Linked DNA regions of Canis lupus familiaris. The protein of the gene in region 2 purifies or fractionates together with the protein of the main gene of each other region. This does not show direct contact. Links are inferred from orthologs where the notes say so. Each region holds a gene or a part of one and is shown on either strand. Other genes may lie near its edges.

Region 1 (10,801 bases), on a different chromosome or scaffold from region 2:
TCTTAGTATGAAGTAGCTATTTTATTGTGGTTCTGATTTGCATTTCCCTAATGCCAGTGGATGTTTATTATGCTTTCATGTGCTTTCTGACCACTTTTACATCTTCTTTGGATAAACGTCTATTCAAGTTCTTTGCCCATGGCTTATTAAGGTTGTCTTTTTATTGTTAAGCTATAGTTCTTTACATATTCTGACTCTAGATCCTTATCAGATATATGATTTGAAAATATTTTCTCCCATTCTTTTCACTCACTTCAGTGTCCTTTGATAGAACAAAAAATTTTAATTTTGATGAAATCCAATTTATCTTTTACTTCTTTTGGAGTCATATCTAAGAAACCATTGCCAAATCTAAGTCGTCCCCTAGAGCTCTCTTTCTTATGCACCAAGCTAATCTCTTTGTTTATATAAACTAAACACCCTACTTTAACACACTTCTTCATTCTGGAATAGCTTTTAATTAATAATAACCTATCATGTAGAAAGAACTATACTGTTTCAAAGCAATTTGCCTTGACATAATTTTATAATCAATGTTGCAAGGTTAGGATTACTGCTTCTAACCTATAGAAACATGATTTTTGAAAACAAAAAAGAGGGTGCCTGGGTGGCTCAGTTGGTGAAGGGTCTACCTTCGGCTCACGTCATGGTCCTGGGATAGAGCCCCATGTCGGGCTACCTACTGGGCAAGGAGTCAGCTTATCCCTCTCTCTATACCTCTGTCCCTTCCCTCACTTGTGCTTTCTCTATCAAATATTTTTTAAATAAAAATAAAAACAAAAAATATAAAAATACAACACCCATGTTATGTTCTTGCACAAACCATCTATTCCTTAGCTCCAAACTAAGGTAAACATACAAAAAGAAACCAAATTCTAGGGGTGCCTGGGTGGCTAAGATGGTTAAGTGTCTGCCTTTGGCTCAGACCATGATCCCAGGGTCCTGAGACTGAGCCCCATATCAAGTTCCCGGGGGGGCTGCTTCTCTCTTTCCCTCTGCCTGCCACTCCCCCAGTTCTCTCTCTCTCTCTCTCTCTCTCTCTCTCTCTCTCTCTCTCTCTCGTCAAATAAATAAATAAAATCTTCAGGAAGCAAGCAAGCAAGCAAACTCTAGCATTACAACCTGGAAACAAGAGACTATAATAAATATCTCCTCACATGAACCCCATTCTGGAGGTTCCAGGTTTCCCCTATAGACTTTGCCAATGGCTATAACTGACCATGTTTTGGTGGGTTTTGTCACAAGGACTCCCCACACACAAACAAAAGACACCTAGAAGTTAACACCTACTTCTACATTTGAAACGCACATTAGCATGTGACAACTTTTTCAAAGGCTAGTTTAAAATATAAGAATCATGAATTAAAGGACACTTGGGTGGCTCAGTCAGTTAAGCGTCTGCCTTTGGCTAAGAGTCCTGGGATGAAGACGGGAGTCAGGCCCCCTGCTCAGTGGGGAGTCTGCACCTCCCCACCACTTATGTGTGCAAGTACACGCTCTCTCTCAAATAAATAAAATCTTCTTTAAAAAATAAAAGAAAATAAAAGAATTATGAATTAAGGTTAAAAATATATCACACAGGGCAGCCCGGGTGGCTCAGTGGTTTAGCGCCGCCTTTGACCCAGGGCGTGATCCTAGAGACCCAGGATCGAGTCCCACATCGGGCTCCCTGCATGGAGCCTGCTTCTCCCTCTGCCTGTGTCTCTGCCTCTCTCTCTCTCTCTCTCTCTCTGTCTCTCATGAATAAATAAATCTTTAAAAAAGAATATATATACATATATATGTTTATATATACACACACACAAAAAAAAAAAAATCCAGGAAGTTTGGCATTGAAGCAGTATTATCTCTCAAGAAAGACACAGATCTTAAAAAAAAAAAAAAAAAAAAGAAAGAAAGACACAGATCTCTATCTTAGAAAACGTACCCTTCAGTTACAACAAGCAAATGGCAAGTATTAAATATGGCAAAAGAAGGAACTTAATACTTTAGTTTTCCCTCCATACATGTATGAATATATATTACTCATATATTCCCACTTGCATGTCTTAAGTTACGATGTAAATATTCCAAAATGGCTTGAAAGCCACTGGCCTAAAAAGATGAAAATAAGGAATAATAAAAAATGATCTAACACCAATAAAAGCAAAGAGCAATGATATATTAAAGTACTTTCTACCATGTATACTTGGCAGACATTACTGCTGAGTAATGAGTAACAGTTTTTACAATCCTAATGAAAAAAAAAATTCCAGAAGACTCTAAAAGGGCAATAGTAAAGCAGGAAAACATCAAAGAAGATGAAGCTTGACAGAATGGAAAAGATTTTGACAAGTAGAATATTCTGGATAAAGTTGACAAAATCAAACAAGGAAAAGAAAATTTGACTAGAAAGCTCAAAAGAATCTAAAGAACCATCTGCTGGGGATGAAAGTTCTGAGAATTGATATAATCCCAAGTAACAGTATATAAAGAGATGGGGCAACAATGAGATTATCACATACATCAGAATGGCCAAAGTCCCTAAGACTGACAACACCAAACGCTGATGAGGATGTAGGACAACAAGAACTCCCATTCATCACTGCTAGCAATGCAAAAGGTACAGCCACTCTGAAAGACAGTTTGACACTTTTTTTTACAAAAACTAAACATATAATACAGCAATCATGCACCTCAGTATTTACCCAAGAGCTGAAAACATGTTCACACAAAACCCTACACATGAAATATTTAGACCAGCTTCACTCACAACTGCTAAAACTTGGAAGCAACAAAGACATCCTTCAGTAGGTGAATGGGTAAATTGTGGTACATCCAGACAATGGAATATTAGTCAATGCTTAAAGAAAAGAAAAAAAAGAAGGCTGTCAAGCCATGAAGAGACATGGAAGAAAGTTAAATGCACATTATGAAGCGACTGAAGCCAATGTGAGAAGGCTACACGCTGTATGATTCCATCTATATGACGTTTTGGAAAGGCAAAACTAAAGAGTTAATAAAAAGATCAGTGGTTGCGAGGAGAGGAAAGAAAGTGATGAGTAAGTGGAGAATAGAGGATTTTTAAGGCAGTGAAAATACTCTGTAAGATACCAGTAACGACTGACATATGTCATCATACATTTGTCCAAACCCAGACAATGTACAACACCAAAAGTGAGCCCCAATGTAAACTATGGGCTTTGGGTGATTATGATATGCCCATGTAAGTTAATCAACTGTAATAAATGCACCACTCTGGTGGGGGATGTTGATAATGGTGGAAGGTAAGCAAGCATGTGTGGGGGCAGAACATCTCTACCTTCCCCTCAATTTTGCTGCAAAGCTAAAACTGCTCTTTAAAAAGTCTTAGTTAGGGGATCCCTGGGTGGCTCAGCGGTTTAGCGCCTGCCCTCAGCCCAGGGCCTGATCCTGGAGTCCCGGAACCGAGTCCCACATTGGGCTCCCTGCATGGAGCCTGCTTCTCCCTCTGCCTAGGTCTCTGCCCCTCTCTCTCTCTCTGTCTCTCATGAATAAATAAATAAAATCTTCAAAATATAAAAAATAAAAAGTCTTAATTAAAAAGAGAGAGATGGGAAGAGAGGTCAGACCTTGGGGATATATTTCGAGGTACAAGTAGCAGATTCAATAAAGGAAAAAGGAGAAAGATAAAGAGCCCCTAGATACTACATAAGAAAAGCCAGAAAGCAAAAACAGCTTCACAAAGCAACAATATCAAATGCTACAAAATGAGAAGAAACCAATGAATTTTTACAAGATCGCAATTTCGAGACCCTAAGAAAATGCGGATGCAAGCTAGAAAAGGGTTCATATTTTAGTGTGAAGCTTTAATGTTTTCTTCTAACTTCCTAATTGGAATCCCAATAAGTAGAAAGCGTTTTCATCAAGACAAGGAAGGAAAAAGTAGAAAAATTTTAGATTTTATGGCAGACAAGGAGATTGGTGACAGCCATGACATAATCTGAGGGCAGAACAAGAGTGTTCCATGAAAGGAGAGCTCTGAAGACAAACCAAGAGTTCTGCACTCAAAGAGTTCTAGTCCCACTTGGGTACTACATTAGGAGGGATTCTAAGATGGCCCACACAATTTCCACCCTGTTAAGCCCATGATTAGGGTTGCAAGACAAAAGGGATTTTGCAGGTGTGTAACTCATCAGGTGACTCTGAGTTAATCAAAAGGGAGGTTTTCCAGGTGGGCCAGGCTAATCTTAAAGCCTTTTACATGCTGATCTAGAGATCAAAAACAGGAAAGTTAAGAGAGACTTCTGAAGTCAAAGAGATAAGCTCCTGGTAGCCTACAAGAAAGCAAACATCCATGTCACTGAGCAACACACTTGGAGCAAACTCTAAGAGAGTTAGGTGACAGCAGGAAAGAAAACAGGGACTTCGGTTCCTCAGGTGCAAGGGACTGAATTCTGCCAAAATGAACTTGGAAGAGGACTCTGAGGTCCAGATGAGCACCACAGCAGTCAATGCCTCAACTGCAACCTTGTGCGGCACCGAACAAAGAATCCAGACCATTCATAACCAGAAAGTCTAAGAATAAATGGGTGCGGTTTTAAGCTGCTAAGTGTGTGACACCTGTTATGCATCAAAAAAGAACTAATACAGACCCTACTTGCCTACAAAAGCTGCTTCTATCCTGGCAACAAGTAGGGAGACAAGCAAACTTGAAGGAAAAAAAAAAAAAGCCTGACATGATTTCTCACTCACTCTGACTAGAGATTTTGTTCAATTGCTGCTTGGTGTGCAATACATCTTCCAACATATCAATAATTCTGAAAACTGTGAACAATAGAAATAGAAGTTTATTTCCAACTTTAGAAAAGTACTTTGACAAGCGTGCAGATGTAAGTCACTGGGTGTCTAGGCTTCCTGGATGTCTGCCAAAGTTGTCCCAGCACCTGGAGAAATACATCCCCAAGCTAACCTCAGAAATGAGCACAAGGTCATGACTCCTGTTCTTCCTCAGTACCCAGAGTTTTTACTTCATAAACTACAATCTCTCATTTTTTGTCTAGAGTAAGAATACCTCAGAGGCTCTCTAAGCTGCAAAAAAGAAGGTCCTTCCCGAGTAATTACAACCTTGACCCCTAAAATGTGGACTCTAACAGTCCCAACACCTCCTTATTAAAGATGCAACAAGCCAAGGCTATAGGCGTTTCCTGCTGGGAACTGTAGTTCTCCCCGCGACCTTCAACCACTGGCTGCGCGAAACCTATCACGAGCCCAACCGGCAACCCGAGCGCCAGAGCCACTATTGGTCCCTGCCTGGGGCAGCGCGCCGCTGATTGGACGACGCGTCCCCGAAGCCGCGCTGACGGTCCTGCGCCCGCCTCCCCACCACCTTCTCTCCACACCCCATCCCGCTTACAGCAATAACCCTCAAATCATCCCAGTCGGGCGAACCCCCTAATCAACTGCTTCACGGGTCGGCCCAGGACTCCCGCGATGAGGGCGGCCGCGAAACACGCCTCTCTCCCGGGGCCTAGTCAGAGCGAAAGCCTCTCCCATTTTCCGTTGGTTGGCCGGAGTCCGCCTCACCACGCGCTCTCCCAGCGCCCCCGCGCTCACCTGGGCGGCGGCGGTCACACCCGATAACTGACAGGCCCGCAGCATTTCGGCCGGGCTTGGGCACGGCTGGCGTACGAGGGAGCTGCCGCGGAGGCGTTAGTAAGGGAGAGCGTGCGTACGTCCCTGCGTCCGTGCCGCCTCTCCGCGCCGGTCCTACCGGAAGGGCAACAAACGCCGCTGCGCACGCGCAGCCCCCTTTCTCGACCCCGCCCAGGCCGCCCGGAGAGGCGCCCCCCCCCCGCACCGACCCCGGGCGGAAAAGGCTATTTCTCCTTCCGGGTCGCCTTCGGAGTTCTGGTCTGTATCCGCCAGAAGGGGTTAGTAGGTGAACCCGGAGGGTGAGAGGAAGCGCGAAACTCGGGCTTTGATCAGTGCGGATAGAAGATGTTATTCGTCGAAGAATTCAAGGAAAAAAACATCCCGGCCGCATTTGTCAGCTGGGTATTTCGTAGAAAGCAGACGGTTTGGCGAAAGTTACGTAAACAATGGTGTTTTGGTTTGCGTGTTTGTTTGCTTTGACAGCCTTTCTTCAGGGAGTCATCCTGATTATGGGAGATTGGGAGGACGAACACTGGAGAGACCTTTGTGCGGAACGCGTTGTTCGCGCATCTAATAAATGGCAGAGCAGGGATAGAAACCCACATCCTTCGGGTTCCACCGCTTCTACTCCTAGATTTAAGCCACACTTATTTTCCCACTACGTTTTCCTTTTACAAAGATAATTTTGATGGAATGCGTCGGAAGTTAAGGAGATCAGTGTAGAAAAACTCTTCAGAGTATTCCACGGAGTCTGTAACCAAGATTTAGTATGTTAAATATTGAACACAGTATTCAATACTGTTATTACTAATAATGATCGTACCATCACAATATCAAAAGAAACTGAATAACGTGTATATCCGTTGCATTTGCTAAGTGCTTTTAGGTCTTAACTAGGCTATTTATCACAGCATGGTGTTCCTAGAGTTACGGTGTTTTACAATATGGTGGTATCACAGTATGATACTAATCCCACTTGTAAAATGGAGAAAGGAATTTGAAAATTACCTAAAATCAAATACTTATGTCCGTATATATTCATTGCTTTTCAGGGTGCTTTAAAAATTACGTTACGCTCTCTAATTTCATATCCCCATCACCTAACAGCCCCCAAAGCAGTCTCCCGTTTTTAAAAGTAGTTTTAGCATTAAATTGCAGTCTCCCCAACCCCTCCCACCCACCCCCCGTCCCTGCCCACTGCTGTTCTGTTATACGGGGTGATGCCAGTGTAATGAGTTTTCTAATATCTTGGCCATAAACCTCTCAATATCAAATAAGCAATTTAAATCTACCCTAACCGGGATCCCTGGGTGGCGCAGCGGTTTAGCGCCTGCCTTTGGCCCAGGGCGCGATCCTGGAGACCCGGGATCGAATCCCACGTCGGGCTCCCGGTGCATGGAGCCTGCTTCTCCCTCTGCCTGTGTCTCTGCCTCTCTCTCTGTGACTATCATAAATTAAAAAAAAAAAAAAATCTACCCTAACCGTGTGTGGCCCAGCCACATCCTGGGCCTGAACATCGTTACCAACTTCAGCTTCCAAATCTCAAGCTCCAAAATTAATTTTTGTTGTTTCCTCATCTCCCATTTAACCAAATCCTTAATCTTCATCCTCCACGTGCAATTTATGGATTTTTTTTTTTGCTTTGAAGTGGACTCCCCCAAAGTAACATACAAATTTAAATCATTCCTCTGTTCAAAAATGTGCAAGGACTTCCATTATCAATTCAAAGAGTATTTGTGAAATGTCTCAGTACTTTTTCAATACATGAGAATATGTTTAAGGCTCAATTTAGCCATCTTAGGTGGGAGATTAAGAAAGCAATGATAGTAGTCAAAGCTCATCACCCACTTACATACCCTAAAACCCAGAAGAATTAAAGGATATGACTCTCCTCAGTTGGTTCTCAGAATGTGAACGGGGACCACTGGGGAGTCTGAGACCTTTTCAGAAGATCCATAAAAATCAAAACTACCTTCATAATATTAAGATATTATTAGCTGTTTTCACTCATTTCTCATAATTTTACAGTAGAATTTTTCCAGAAGCTAGGTGACAAGTGAAATTAACAACAGACAATGCATAAGCAAATTTCAGAATCCAGCTACTAAACCATACTTTAAAGAGATTTGCCGGGATCCCTGGGTGGCACAGCGGTTTGGCGCCTGCCTTTGGCCCAGGGCACGATCCTGGAGACCCAGGATCAAATCCCACGTCGGGCTCCTGGTGCATGGAGCCTGCTTCTCCCTCTGCCTGCGTCTCTGCCTCTCTCTCTCTCCTCTCTGTGCATTCTCATAAATAAATAAATAAAATCTTTAAAAAAAAAATAAAGAGATTTGCAGAAAAAGTTAGGAAATGATACTGTTCTCAGTATTTTTTTGGGGGGGGAGAGTTACTTTTCATGAGTGTATTTTTGTTATGAAAATCATAGTTTTTTACTAAGTATGGTAGGCAGAATAATTATTCCTGAACATAGCATATTTTCCTAATCCCTGTAACCTATAAATGTTACCTTACATGACAAAAGAACCTTGCAGATGTGATTAAGACTCTTGCAACGAGGAGATGATCCTGGATTATCTGCATAGGGCCAATGTAATGACAAGGGTCCATTTGAGTAGAAGATGAGGACAGGAGAGGCAGAGTCAGAAAAGGATATGTGACAATGGAAGCAGAAGTCAGAGGAATGTGATTACTGACTCTGAAGATTGAAAGAGGCATAAGCCAAGGAATACAGGCAGCCTCTAGAAGCTAGACAAGGCAAGGAAACAAGTTCTTCTCTACAGCTTCCAGAAGGAACAGAGACCTGGATATTTTGATTTAGCCTTGTGAAACTCATTTTAGATTTATGACCTACAGAACTGTAAGATAATTTGTGTTGTGTTAAGCCACTAGGTTTGGGGTACTTTGTTACAGGAGCAATTGGAAATATAATTAAAAGCTCTTTGGAGTCCTCAGATTTTAAGTATGTAAAGAGGTACTAAGACCAAAAGGTTTGAGAATCACTGCTATATAAAATCCTGTATCTTTCTGTCCTGGCTCCCTGTCTTCTCATCTTAGCTCTTCCTGTTCTTATTGCCAAGAATGACTTTGCTCTTGTTAAAATCCATCCCATTCTTTAAGACTTGTGTTACATTCTCTTCCCTCATCATCTCAATCAGAATGCCTTCTCTCCTTAACTTCGAACTGCTCCTGTGAATCATCTGTCTTGTATTTATGTTCTGCACTTGTCTCATTAAAGGTGAACTCCTTGAGACCAGTGTTGATCCTTATTCATTTCAATCAGTATATGGTGTCATTTATTGTATATGCATGGAATCTTAACCAACAAGGATAGGTTAGAGATTTGTTTTCTGTTTGAGTGAACATTGGAAAAATGTATGATCACTAATTATCAATAAAATAAGGAACATAAGAATTGTTTAGGAAGGATTGAGATGCTGTTCTACCAAATGACAGTCAGTGTTAATGATTAGAAGAAACTATGTGTGTGTGATATCCTTAGGACATGTACATTCATTTAATTATGATTGGCATTCAATTTTTAAAAAATTTTAATAATATTGCTATGTCCCATTCATGCAGCCTAACATCTAGCAGCTTTGAAAGGAATATGTTATTTTTTGAAAGTTAATAAAATGAGCAAAATGAAATTGTGTAACATTTATTTATTTATTTATTTATTTATTTATTTATTTATTTATTTATTTTGAAATTGTGTACTTTAGATGTCAAATGCTCACTGAAAATTTAAGAGCCTACCCAATGCCAGACACAGTACATAGGTACTTGTTCTTCATAGGCGGTGAAGAACTGCTTGGCATATAGAAGACATTCAATAAAACTTGCCTTAACCGTTACTTTTTTCGTTTTTGTTTTTTTTTTTTTTCCTTCTTTTTTTCTTAGACTCCACCCATACCTTTTCCTTAACTTCCTTTCGCGCTGGAGTTTTAGATCCCAATGCGGCTGCCGTAGGGCGGGGTGGCAAGATGGCGGCCCCTGTCTTTGCTCGTGCCGTGAAGGCCGCCTCAGGTCAGTAGAAAGCTGCGCGCTGGATTTAGCCCCTCACAGAAGGCGGGACTGGTGTAGGATGGAGTAGGCGTTTAGCGTGAGCGTGGAGGTTAACTGGGGAATAAAGGCCAGAGGATTGTAATGAATTTTCTACAGGGCTGCCCGTGTTCGGCCGGTCGCATCGGACATCGCGGACGCTCGTGGACCCTCGCGGACCTACGTGTGTCCCCAGGTTTCCGCTTCCTTAGTGGCTCCTGGTCCTTCTGCCTTAGCCAGAAAGAGGGCCCGACGGACTGGGGCGGAGGGGGGTGAGTGAAGGAGACAGAAAAGTCCGTGCTAACCTTCTGATTGAGAGGCTAGGAGTCGCCACTCATGACCTTTGGCCTTGAAGTAATTTCTCAGTCTCAGGTTCTGCAGCTCTACAGCGAGGACGATACCGTGTACCTGAGAAGTAACCGAGCTCGAGCGTGTAGAGCGCTCTGCGTAGTGCCTGGCACACAGCAAGCGGGCGTGTAGGAGATTCACACGAGGTGCGGGAAACGGGCGATTGTTTGGCCTCTCAGCCCCCGGCACAGGGGCAGTCGGTCCGGAGGATTTCTTTCTTAACTAACGGAGTGAAGGCGATTAAATTGTAGGAGTTTTTGCAAAAATATTATTTAAGTATGATAAGATTGTCAGTAAATCACTTAAAGGCAAAATAAATTAGGATAAAATCCTGTGGAAGAAGAATAGAAATAAAGGAAAACACTACAATGTAAAAATTTCCACCTGTTACAGAAGAGTATGTTTACGTGGGGTATTTTTAAATTGTGAAAATAACATTTAAAGAAAAATGTATGTGACATACACAAGTGGCTTAACAAATAATTCTAAAGCAAACACCCAAGGCAGGACACAGAACACTACCAGGAACCTCTTCTCCATCTCTGTGCTTCTCCTCATCAAAATTCCCTCTTTCTGCTAATTGTAAATAGTAGCCTCATTTGATTGTTAACCTTGCCTTTTTTTTTTTCCTGTTAATAGTTTTAACATCTATATATACATCTCTAAGTTTAGTTTTGTTTAGTTTTAGTTTTAGTATTGTTTAGTTTTTCCTGTTTTTGTACTTTACATGAATGGAATCATACAGTATGTACTCTTGTGTCTTTTAATTTGTGAAATTTGTTCATTTTGGGTGTAG
Region 2 (10,630 bases):
GGCTCGGGTCATGATCCCAGGGTCCTAGGATCAAGCCCTGCATCAGGCTCTCTACTCAGCGGGGGTCTACTTGTCCCTCTCCCATTCCCCCTGCTTGTGCTCTGTCTCAAATAAAACCTTAAAAAATAAAAAGAAAAAAGAAGGTTTTTTTGTTTTGACCTCTGGCCTTTTATGAAGCTGAGATCTGGATCAATTTCTATAGGGACAGATACGATAGTAAGTTTTACCCAACTTCCTTTGGGGCCCCCCTTCAAAAGACATCCTCCTGTGACAGAATATAGAATTTGCCCTAAGCGTGCCTGTCCCCAGCTTCAGACTCACAGGGAAGTATCTACCAAAATGTGCTCTCCTCCAACGATTGCAGCTCTGTCGCAAGACATGCCAACCTTCCCACTGCTGTTTGGGGCCTGCTCACCATTCTAACCCCAGTGACTGCCACCTCCCCAAGCCCCTGGAGATCCTTCAACTGCTCTGGTCCTTTCTTGCCTCCCCTTGGCCACCAACTACTCAGCAGCCTGAAGGACCTTTGCAAGTTACAGATCTAACTCTTGTCACTTTGATCGAGAGCCTTCTGCAGCCTTCTGTGCTCATGAGTCAAGGTTGAGCACTTCTGTCAGCCATGGGACATGGATTCACCATTGCAGATGCAGCTCACAGCAGGCCCTCCCCAGTTCCCTCTCTCTGGGGAACTAAGATCCTGCCTCATGTGTCTTTACTCTCCCTTGGACACCAAGTGGACAGGGAGAGCAAAAGAGCATCACAGCACCTGCTTTTGCAGGAGCATGACAACAGTGTTCTGGAAGGTACACACACACTCACACAAACCCTCCAACAGACAAAAGTACTCTGCAATTATGTCTGGGGACATGAACTGGGATGAAGAAAAGAGTCAAGACTTGACAAATCCAATCTCGATGGTTAGACCCAATGTGCCAGCTACAGGGTTAAGAGCTGGGGGGGTCTGAACACAGAACACAGCACATAGCCACTTACTGGAAAAAAAAAAAAAGTCAACTTTAATTATAACTGACCAAACTGCGTCCAGGAATGTCTCCAAACTGAACAAAAGAAACACGATAAAATTCTCTATTGAAGAAACCAAGTTTTTGCCAACCCCAGGCTTCTGAGGGTTGGGCCAAGAGTAGCCCATTCCTGAGGCTGCTTCTGTCCCCCACACAAGTTTCTCATCCCGAGAGGAGGGCTGGCAACAGGCAAGGGACCTGTCCCTTCCTCCCATCATGCTCAGAAAGTCACTGGTGGGGTGTGCCTCTCCTCCTATCCCATTCTTGCGTGAAAGTAAACGGAGAACCTTTGGGCATCATCTTGAAAGCCAGGGAACAAGGCGAGGGGCCTCAGCGCCCTCCTGGACTTTCAGCCAAAGCTTTGCTCCAGTCCGCTCAGCGGGCATTCCCAGTGCCCAGGGTGGGGAGTAAATGAAATAAGCACTAGAGAAAACTCAAATGCCCCACAATCTCCACAATGCAAGTCACAGAGCAGAAAAAGAAATGAAACTGCCCTAATGAAAAGCGTGGGCAGCCGGCCCTCAGAAGACACGCTCGAATTCCGTCTGGTTGGTGGTGGCAGGATTGCGGCTCTGGTTGGTGGATTGCTGGGTGATTTGACTGCCCTTCCGGCGTGGCGGCGCCAGATACTCGAACATGGACGTCAGGTGGGTAGAGAGCATGCCCTTGAGATCCGAGGGCATGGGGTCCGACCAGAAGAAGTCATGGTTGAGGGCGTCATCACTGTCGATGCGCTGTGCAGGATCCAGCACCAGCAACTTGTCGATGAGGTCCAGCGCGTAGGGGTCACGCACATAGGCCTTCAGCCTGTCCTTCACCTTCCGTTTCTGGCCCTTCACCAGGTCCAGCTTCTCAAAGAGCTCATACTTGTCCACATTGGGCCATACCTGGGCAGGAGGCACGGGAAGAAGACGGTCTTAATTCAGGGGGTGTGTGGCTTGTCCCCTGGTTAGGCACCCGAAGGGACTACAGCTTCTCCTTTCAGATGCTCCCAGACCACCCATGGAGGGTGAATTTGACCTCTCCAAGGTAGAAGCAGCAGTGACCACATGTCTGGCACACACCAAGCGCCAGGCCCTTTTACGTGGTCATCTGAAATATGTCCACCAAGCCTGATACAGGCATAGTTGTTTCACGGAAGAGAAACTCAGCTCCGAGGTGAGGGATGCAAACGCCCTCCCCAGGGCCATGAACTGTGATGGAAGTGAGACTCAAGCATAGCCCATGCGACTCTAAAGAGCAGCCCCTGTCCCTCCACCAGCCACCTCTCCAGAACTTTCCTGCTATTTCACTCCCCACTCCTCCCTTGCCAGGAGGACTTCTGGATCTCTGCGTCCTGTGGGGACCAGGGGCCCAGGCAGCCTGGCCACGCACCTCAGGGGTGATGGAGCCACAGAGCTGGCTGATGAGGGCAAGCTGGTGTTGCTCGGTGTTGCCCTGCATGATAGGGCTGCGGGTCCACATCTCGGCCATGATGCACCCAGCACCCCACAGGTCAATGGGGGGGCCGTAGTCCCGCTCCCCTGGGAAGAAGAGCGCACCAGGAGGGCCCCTTGAGCCCGAGGGCCTCCTGAGACGCAATGCCCCAGGGCCGGCGGCTCAAGAAGCCCTGGCAGTGGGGGACTGAGGCCGGGTAAGTGCCCAGCCCCTGCCCCACTCCGCCCGCTCGGGAGTCCTCACCGAGCAACAGCTCCGGAGGCCGGTACCAGAGCGTCACCACACGGTTGGTATAGCGATTGGGCTGGCTGTTCTTGGCCAGGCTGAAGGCCCGGGCCAGCCCAAAGTCGGCCAGCTTCAGAACCCCATCGCGAGTGATGAGCACATTAGCTGCCTTCATGTCCCTGTGCAGGATCTGCAGGAAGCGCAAGAGGGCTCAATCAGGTTTCCAAGGGGAACCCTCAGTCGCACCCACCCAGCGGTGGGAGCCGAGGCCCACCCCAGCCCGGGTCTCTCTTACCCCATGCTGACCCCCACCTTGTTTCTGTGGATATAGTAGAGGCCGTTGAGCAACATCTGCATGACCTTCTTGATCTCAGACAGTGTGAACTTGACCAAGACATTGCTCAGCAGCCCAGCAAGATCGTGCTCGCAGAAGTCAAACACTAGGTATATACTGCCTTTGCAGCGGTTATAGGGGGAAGCTGGGAGGGAAGAATGGGGGAGGAGTAAGAAAAAGAAAGTAAAAAACCCCACGTGCAACTCATTTCCCCACACAGCTTCTACCCCTCCAGCCCGTGGACACTGGGATATTCGGCTGTGCCTTCCTTCACTGGAAAACTATTTCCTGAGTGCCTCCTCTGGGCTGGGTGCTGTGGCAGGCCCTCGAGGAGCAACAGCTACGATGGAAGGACCCAAGAGCAGTCACAGTCGGTTTGTCTGGGTTAAGAAGAGGCAATTTAGGTGTGTCCACTTCCAACTTTGCAAAGCCTTAGGCAGTAAGCCTCATTTTCCCCATCTGTAAAGGGGGGCAGGAGCCAAAGAACCTACCTTTGGTTCGACAGATCTCAATTAAGTTGACCACATTCTCGTGTTTCAGAAGCTGGAGGATCTTGATTTCCCGCAAAGCCGTAATGGGGAACTGGGTAGGAGAAAGGCAAGAGGGGGCCTGAGGTGAGCGAGTCAACTATAGACCAATGAACAGACCAATGAACAACCGTGTGGTCCAGATCAAGGGGCACAGGTGCAGCAAACGAGTAAGGTCCCGGGCTCTGACATCATTTCAGATGTCTTAGCTGTAAAATGGGTGTAAAAATAGTATGTGCCCCTCAATGAGTTGCTCTGAGACAATGAACTGAAACAGTGGGACTTAATACCTACACACTTCACTACTCGTCACTAAATAAATGTTCCACAGTTTCTTCAATATTTAAGTTTTAGCTCTATACCTGTATTTAACTTACTAGGTGGAAACAAACAGCTATTTAAGGAAATGTCCTTGCTAAGCAGGTCTCTGGGAAGCTGGACTAGGGCTACAATGAGGCAAGGGAGGGGACTGCTCCTTTTCAACTGAGTACCAGCCACTCCCTTAAAACCACCAAGTGGAATTTCTTTCCGCCTTATGCAAAATGAATGCTAAGGAAACCGTGTTTAAAGGCTTCCTAACTTCAGGAACTAAGGCACACTCTGCAGGCATGAGCTCCCCCTCCTGGCCCCAACCGTATTTACCTAAGAGTGGGATATCAAAAGCTCTAAAACATTTGAATTAAAAAATTCAATTTGGAAGCCAAATTCCCCGAATACGGAAATTGCCTAACTACCCCCCCCCCCCCAACACACAGACACACAGGTTCTCCAGACGAGAGCCCTAGCAGAAGCAGGGTGGAAACCCAACCCCGAGCCCAGGGGAGCTGGCAGGCCCGCCCACCCGGCCCATACTCACCCCCTCCTTCTCGTTCTCCATCAGCACTTTCTTCAGAGCCACCTTTTTGCCGGTCTTACGGTGCTTTGCCTTAAATACCTCCCTGCAGGCCGAGAGGGAGACCCAAGAGGTTTTATCAGGCCGTTTCTGCAGGGCCCGCCCCTCCCCCACCAGAGGAGGGGGGCAGAAAAAAGGGATTCCCCGGGCGGGGCTGGGCCGGGGACCCAGGGCACTGCCCTACCTTGCCACCCGCTATCTGCGGAGCTTCGAGCCTCTACTTCCTCCCCTCAGTCTCCTCACTCAGGCGTCTCTCGGAGAGCCCGCTCCCACCACTGGCTCCTCTCCGTAACCCCTCCCCGCCCCCCATCACAGGCCTCAGGCTCCTCCCCGCCAGCCGGCTCGGTCAGGCCCAGGCGGGCCGCAGCGCGGCCTAGCAAAACCAGGGGACACGTCTGGCGCTCATGGCCTTCCCGACCACCTCGGGCCCGGCCCTGGGCATCGTGACGTCGGATTTGAGCGGTGCAGGCCCAGAGCGCCTGGTCCCCCGGGGGCGCAGCCTTACCCGAAGGTGCCTTGGCCGATCTTAGCGAGCTTCTCATATTTGGACACCTCATCACAAAAGGGACACTCCACCGAGTCGTACTGCTTTGCCATGGCCGCCTCCAGCGCGCCGCCGCCGCCGCCCCCAGCCGCCGCCGCCGCCGCTGCTCCCGCTCCGGGTCCCGCCGCCGTGCTCCAGGCCCCTCCGCGGCCGCGCCACTTCCGCCTCCACGGCCACTTCCGGCCTCGCGGCGCCGACCCCGCCTCTTCCGTCCGCCGCCCGCCGCCAGGCCCCCTGGGACTTGTAGTTCCCGGGAGGCCAGGAGCAGCCGGAGCTGCAGAGGCGCCTCCGCCGCCGCCGCTGCCCCCGCCTCCGCCGCCGCCACTGTTGGCGGCTGCCCCGATCGGGGGCGCGGGGAGCCGGGGCGCCGGGGCTGGGGCTCGGGGCGGTGCGTCCCGCTGCATCGGCCCGGGCCGCCGCTGCTGCCGGAGCCGCTGCCGCTCTGGCGCCCGATCCGGGGCCAGCCGCAGTGCCCTGCTCCTCCTCCTCCGACGGCGCCGCCTCCGCCGGGCTGCGCGGGGCGGCGAGCGGGGGGGTGGCCCCCGAGCCGCGGCCTGGGGTCTCCCTGGCCGGGCCCGGGCCCGGGGCGGCCGGGCAAGGGGGCGAGATGGGAAGAGCCGACGAGGAGGTGGCCCGAGAGCCCGGGAGGGGGCGCGTTATAAAGGGGGAGGTGCCCTGGCCTCGCCCTCCCCTCCCCCTCCGCCCGCCCCCCTCCCTCCTCCCTCCCACCCTCCGCGGCCGCACCTGCCGCCGCCGCCGCCGCCGCCGCCGCCGCCGCCGCCGCCGCCGCCCGCTGTCCGCCGGCCGCCCTCGGCGCGTCACCGCCCGCGGCCCCTCCTCCGCCTTCGGAGGTGGGGCCCCGAGCTCGACACCTGGCTGCGGAGCGCTTTGTCGCGTGCCTCAGTTTACCCCCCCATGCTAGCTGCCGCGGAGAGCCCTCTCCCCGGCTCGGAGTGCCCCTCCGCTGGGAAAGGCGGGAGGCGCCGAGGGAGCGGCCTCCGGTCCTGGGAGGAGAGAACGGCCCCCGCCGCCGCCTCCCCAGGCCCCAGCCGCCCGCCGTTGACATGGCAACCGACGGCCGCTAGGGGGCGCGGCGACACTGGAGACGGCGAGCGAGCAACGCCCGGGCCTTCCTGCCCTGGACCCCCAATTTTCTGGGAGGAAGGGATGAGACCCGCGGGAGCCCTATGCCCACCCAGCTGCGTCCGAGCGGGTCAGTCCCGGGTCAGTAATCACAAAAATGGCTAGCATTTGCTCAGAACTCCTGTGTGTTCAGGAATCGCTGGGCATTCCTGCTGAATCCTGCTGAATCCTCAATCAGGCGCCCCATGGGCAGGTTAACTAGCCCATTTTACAGAAGAGGGCATTGAGGTTCAGAGTGGTGAGGTCATTTGCCCAAGGTCACAGAGTGACAGCGCTGTGACTGGAACCTGGTCTGTCTGATTCTTTTTTTTTTTTTTTTTTTTAAAGATTTTATTTATTTATGATAGTCACAGAGAGAGAGAGAGAGAGGCAGAGACATAGGCAGAGGGAGAAGCAGGCTCCATGCACCGGGAGCCTGACGTGGGATTCGATCCCGCGTCTCCAGGATCGCGCCCTGGGCCAAAGGCAGGCGCCAAACCGCTGCGCCACCCAGGGATCCCTGGTCTGTCTGATTCTGAAGAGGATTCTCCCGAGTCAAGGCTATCTACAGTCTGGCCAAGGGTAGAGCAATGGTGCGGTTTGAGGCCTGCTGTCCCTATGTCAGCCACCAAGCCCTCCACCCATCTCCTCCTCCGACCCGACTCCAACCCTTCCTCCTCATTTTCCTGCTACCTTCCAGGCTCCAGGAGCCTCTAGATTCTTCCTCCAGCTCTACTCAACAATCAACCCACAGCAAAGCTGACCTTTCTACCACCTCTGCACCCTTTCAGTCTGTCCTCTGCTGATGGGTCCTGAGTCCTACTCTCCCCAGTCTGGCCTCTCCATCTGTCCTCCTTACAGCACCTTCCAGGTCCTTCTAAAATGAGGTATTTCCCTCTTCCACTGTCTTCAGGAAAATCAAAATTGTGACACTTGAGGCTCTTTCCAGCTCCATCCCAGTGGCAGGAATCTCCCTCCTGCGCTTTGCTAACTCCCTGGACCTTCCTACCTTCAGAGCTGGAAGGCAGTTCCTCAGTGGCACACCATTACCTGTCTCTTCAGGAAGCCCTCAGGGTGACCTGGTAGCTCTTAACCCCCATGGCTTGGCTTTCCAGCCCTCGTAGAAGGAAGCAGGTTCTGATGATCCTGGCATCCCAAGAGTCTCTGTTTTGGGGGAGGGCCATGCAACAGACACCTTGAGGTTCAGGCGACCAGCAGGGAGCCCCCTCCTGAGGTCAGTGTGAGGCCATCGAGGGTTTTAGGCAGTCAAGAGACCTGTCGAGGTGATCTGGGATCTGCTTCATGGGTCTAATGTAGAAACAGGGAGGCTGGTAGCTAAATTGCAGGTAGGGAGGGCAAGGAGGGAAAGCACAATAATAATTGTAGTCATTACAATTTGTTGAAGGAAAATAAATGGTCCAAGCCAACCATCAGCACTTTACAAGAATCCTCTCAATTCTCATTCATAGGTAGGTAATATAATCACTCTGTTGTACACGTAAGGACATCGGAACTCAGAGGTAACATCACCTGGCCAGGGTCAAAGAGCTGGCCAGCAGCCACACTGGTATTTAAACCAGGTCACTCTAGACCCCACCCACTGGGGCTGTGGGGAGAGCTAGGGCACAGCCAGGACACAGTACCACTGGCCTAGGTGTCCTGGATGCCCATGGGAGGTATGGGAGGGGATGGCAGTATTGGGGATGTACCATGGTTTTGGGTGGTCTCCACCATCAGACCCTCAGGCTGGGGCCCCTACCTCTTTCCCACGAGCCCTCCTTAAATCACATCCTGTGGGCAGAGGCCTCAGCAGATGTTCCGGTGATGTTGTCACCTCCACCCTACCATCCCTGGCCTGAACCCCAACATCCGCCTGTCACTTCCCCTCAGAGCTTTGGCCTCCCAGACAGAAGCCATCAGGAGCCCTTTAGAAGCCTGCCCACCACACTGCCCAGGCATGGGGTCCTGGATCACCCAGGTGGAAGTATGAACAAATTAGGTCCTAGTTGGAAATGATTTGTCACTGACTCTGACTTCTGATTTGCTGGTCTGAGGAAAATGTTTCCTGCTTCCGTGGACCAGCTAAGCTGGCAAAGCCAGGCATGTGGCCAGTACTCAGTCAATGTTTGCCAACTGACTGACCAGACTCTGTGAGAGCCTCTGGTCCTGCTGCCTTGTGACAGGGATGCTGAGGCACAGAGTAGAAGAGGGGGTTACTGGCCAGCTGCTTGACTCTGGCCCAGACCTTTGTTTTCCTCTCCTGAGCAGGGACAGAGTAGGGGGCATATGAAGGGAGGCAGAAAATAGGCTCACAGGTAGGCTGCTCTTGGCTGCTGGACACAAAGGGGCACTGGGTAGGGAGAGACCAGACAGAGGGCAGTGTGGTCTAGCAGCTCTGTACACCATGGACGTTCTGCCCCCACCAGCTGGGTACTGACTCTGCTCAGCCCTGTGTTGATAGGTGTCATTTCCCTGGAGCTTTACAGTGCCCCTCTTAGGAGGTTGCTCGTATTGGGCCCAAGTTACAGAAGAGGAAACTGAGGCTCAGCAAGGTGAAGTGGCCTGTCCAAGGCCACACAGCCAGGAAGCTATGGAGCTGGGATTCAAAGCCAGGTGTCTTTGCTTTCAAAGCCCAGGGTCGGGGCTCCTGGCTGGCTCAGTGGGTGAGCAAGTGACTCTTGCTCTCAGGATTGTAAGTTGAAGCCTTACATGGACATGGAGCCTACTTTAAATTAACAGCAACAACAAAAACAAAGCCCAGGGGGTCATTTACCATCAGCCCACACAACCCCCAATATCAGACAACTGGGTCAAGCCAGGAGGAGCTGAGACCTATAGTACAGGCGCCAGTCTGGATACATACGGCCAACTCCTCTCAGGGAGGGTGAAGTCTGTTCGAATATGCAAATAAAGACACCAGTGAATGTAACACGGATAACACTTGCAGTAAAGATGTTTTATTTCACTGCCACAGGATCACATGAGGGATGTTGAATTTGTCCCATTTTACGGATGGGAAAAACAAGGCTCAGCGAGGTGACATGACTTGCCCAGGGTCCTGCACGTGGGATCTGAACTCAGGTTCGCCTGGGCCCCAGTGACTTTGACAATGAAGCTGAAGGATTCCAAAGCATAATAGAACCTGGCCAAACACAGACGGGGGAAGAGGCAGGAGGGAGGCGACAGGAACCAGAGCAGGGCTCCCTAGGGCCCTGTGGCTGGATCTTGAGCTGCGGCCACTCAATGGTGGCAAAACTCTCAGCCAGTGGTGGTGGGTGGGAGAGCCACACTCGGGGTGTGGGTCCAGCCGCAGCAGGGGCCTGGAGGCAGGAAAGCACTTCTCTTGTCCGGGCTATGGAGCACATGCGCTACTCTGGGCCAGCCTCCAAAGCAGGCTGAGGAGGGTCTGCGAGACGGCCACCCGCCAGCAGGTCCCCAGCGGCACTCCCAACGGCCACTCAAGGCAGCACAAAGGGGGCTCTGAGCTCAGTGGAGCTGCCACACTGAGCCCCATTCATTCTCCCAGGGACGCGGCAACTGCCCTGGCGCCCAGGCCAACGGCAGCAACACGGCCTCAACGCGGCCTCAGCTCAGCCCAGCTCCCGGCTCCCCCACCCTGTGCTCTCTCCTGGGCGCTTCTGGGCTGTGCCACTCTGGCCCGGGCCTGCACCACCCCCATCCTTCAGCAACAATCACTGGGGGCTGCGAGGCCGCCGGGACCAGCCTGGGCCAACTTTTGCTCCTTTCATCCTCCCAACAAGCCCTGGAAATGGGAGCGACTGTGACCCTACTTCATGGATAGAAACGGAGTACCAAAGAGGCAGAGTCTCGTGAAGGGTCACACGGTGAGGCAGGAGTCCCAGAAACCCAGGTTACTGAGACTGCCTCCCAGGGGGAAGCCAGGGATATCCCCTCTGCCTTCCATGAGGAAGACCCCTGGCTACTGCCAGGCCACAGGCCCTTCTCTCTCTTCTTCTTCTTCTTTTTTGTTTTTTTAAGATTTTATTCATTTATTCATGAGACACACACAGAGAGAGAGAGAGAGAGAGACAGAGACAGAGACACAGGCAGAGGAAGAAGCAGCCTCCATGCAAGGAGCCCGATGTGGGACTCGATCCCTGGACTCCAGGATTATGCCCTGGGCTGAAGGCAGGCGCCAAACCACTGAGTCACTCAGGGATTCACCCTTCTCTCTCTTCGGACAACTGCAGGTGGGAGAGGGCTCTGGCCAGGAAGCTAGGACACCTGGGGGTGCGTCTGTCTAGCCTCTGCTCCTCTTCAGCCTCAGTTTGCTCATCTGTACAATGGGAGAGTACCAACACTTGCCTCACAGGTCTGTTGCAGGGACTGAGCAGATGATCTGTGAGGCTTTCAGCTCCACGCCTGGCTCAGGGTCAGGACTCAGTAGAAGGACTGTTTCTTCCCAAGCCCATGACCCAGAAACCCCATCCCTTCATTTGAACTTTGAACACTGGTCCCATCCAGATCTGTCTGTGAGCAAGACCCTGCTGTCTGGGTCTCATAGGG

The links.
Region 1: the proteins of CDK9 (region 2) and IMMT purify together in Homo sapiens (affinity purification with mass spectrometry; 3 studies listed by BioGRID, with this or other methods). This does not show direct contact. The link is inferred for Canis lupus familiaris from reciprocal best matches to the Homo sapiens genes CDK9 and IMMT.

Annotation. Positions count from the first base shown.
Region 1 is NC_049238.1:39,246,084-39,256,884, reverse strand, and holds the start of IMMT (MICOS complex subunit MIC60), read right to left. Parts: upstream 5,748-10,801; 5' UTR 5,620-5,747; coding exon 5,575-5,619; intron 1-5,574. Other genes in the region: MRPL35 (39S ribosomal protein L35, mitochondrial), read left to right, coding at 9,600-9,642. UniProt on the Homo sapiens protein: Component of the MICOS complex, a large protein complex of the mitochondrial inner membrane that plays crucial roles in the maintenance of crista junctions, inner membrane architecture, and formation of contact sites to the outer membrane.
Region 2 is NC_049230.1:55,702,155-55,712,784, forward strand, and holds CDK9 (cyclin-dependent kinase 9), read right to left. Parts: upstream 5,103-10,630; 5' UTR 5,035-5,102; coding exon 4,943-5,034; intron 4,484-4,942; coding exon 4,402-4,483; intron 3,601-4,401; coding exon 3,510-3,600; intron 3,164-3,509; coding exon 2,997-3,163; intron 2,875-2,996; coding exon 2,703-2,874; intron 2,546-2,702; coding exon 2,397-2,545; intron 1,910-2,396; coding exon 1,544-1,909; 3' UTR 990-1,543; downstream 1-989. UniProt on the Homo sapiens protein: Protein kinase involved in the regulation of transcription.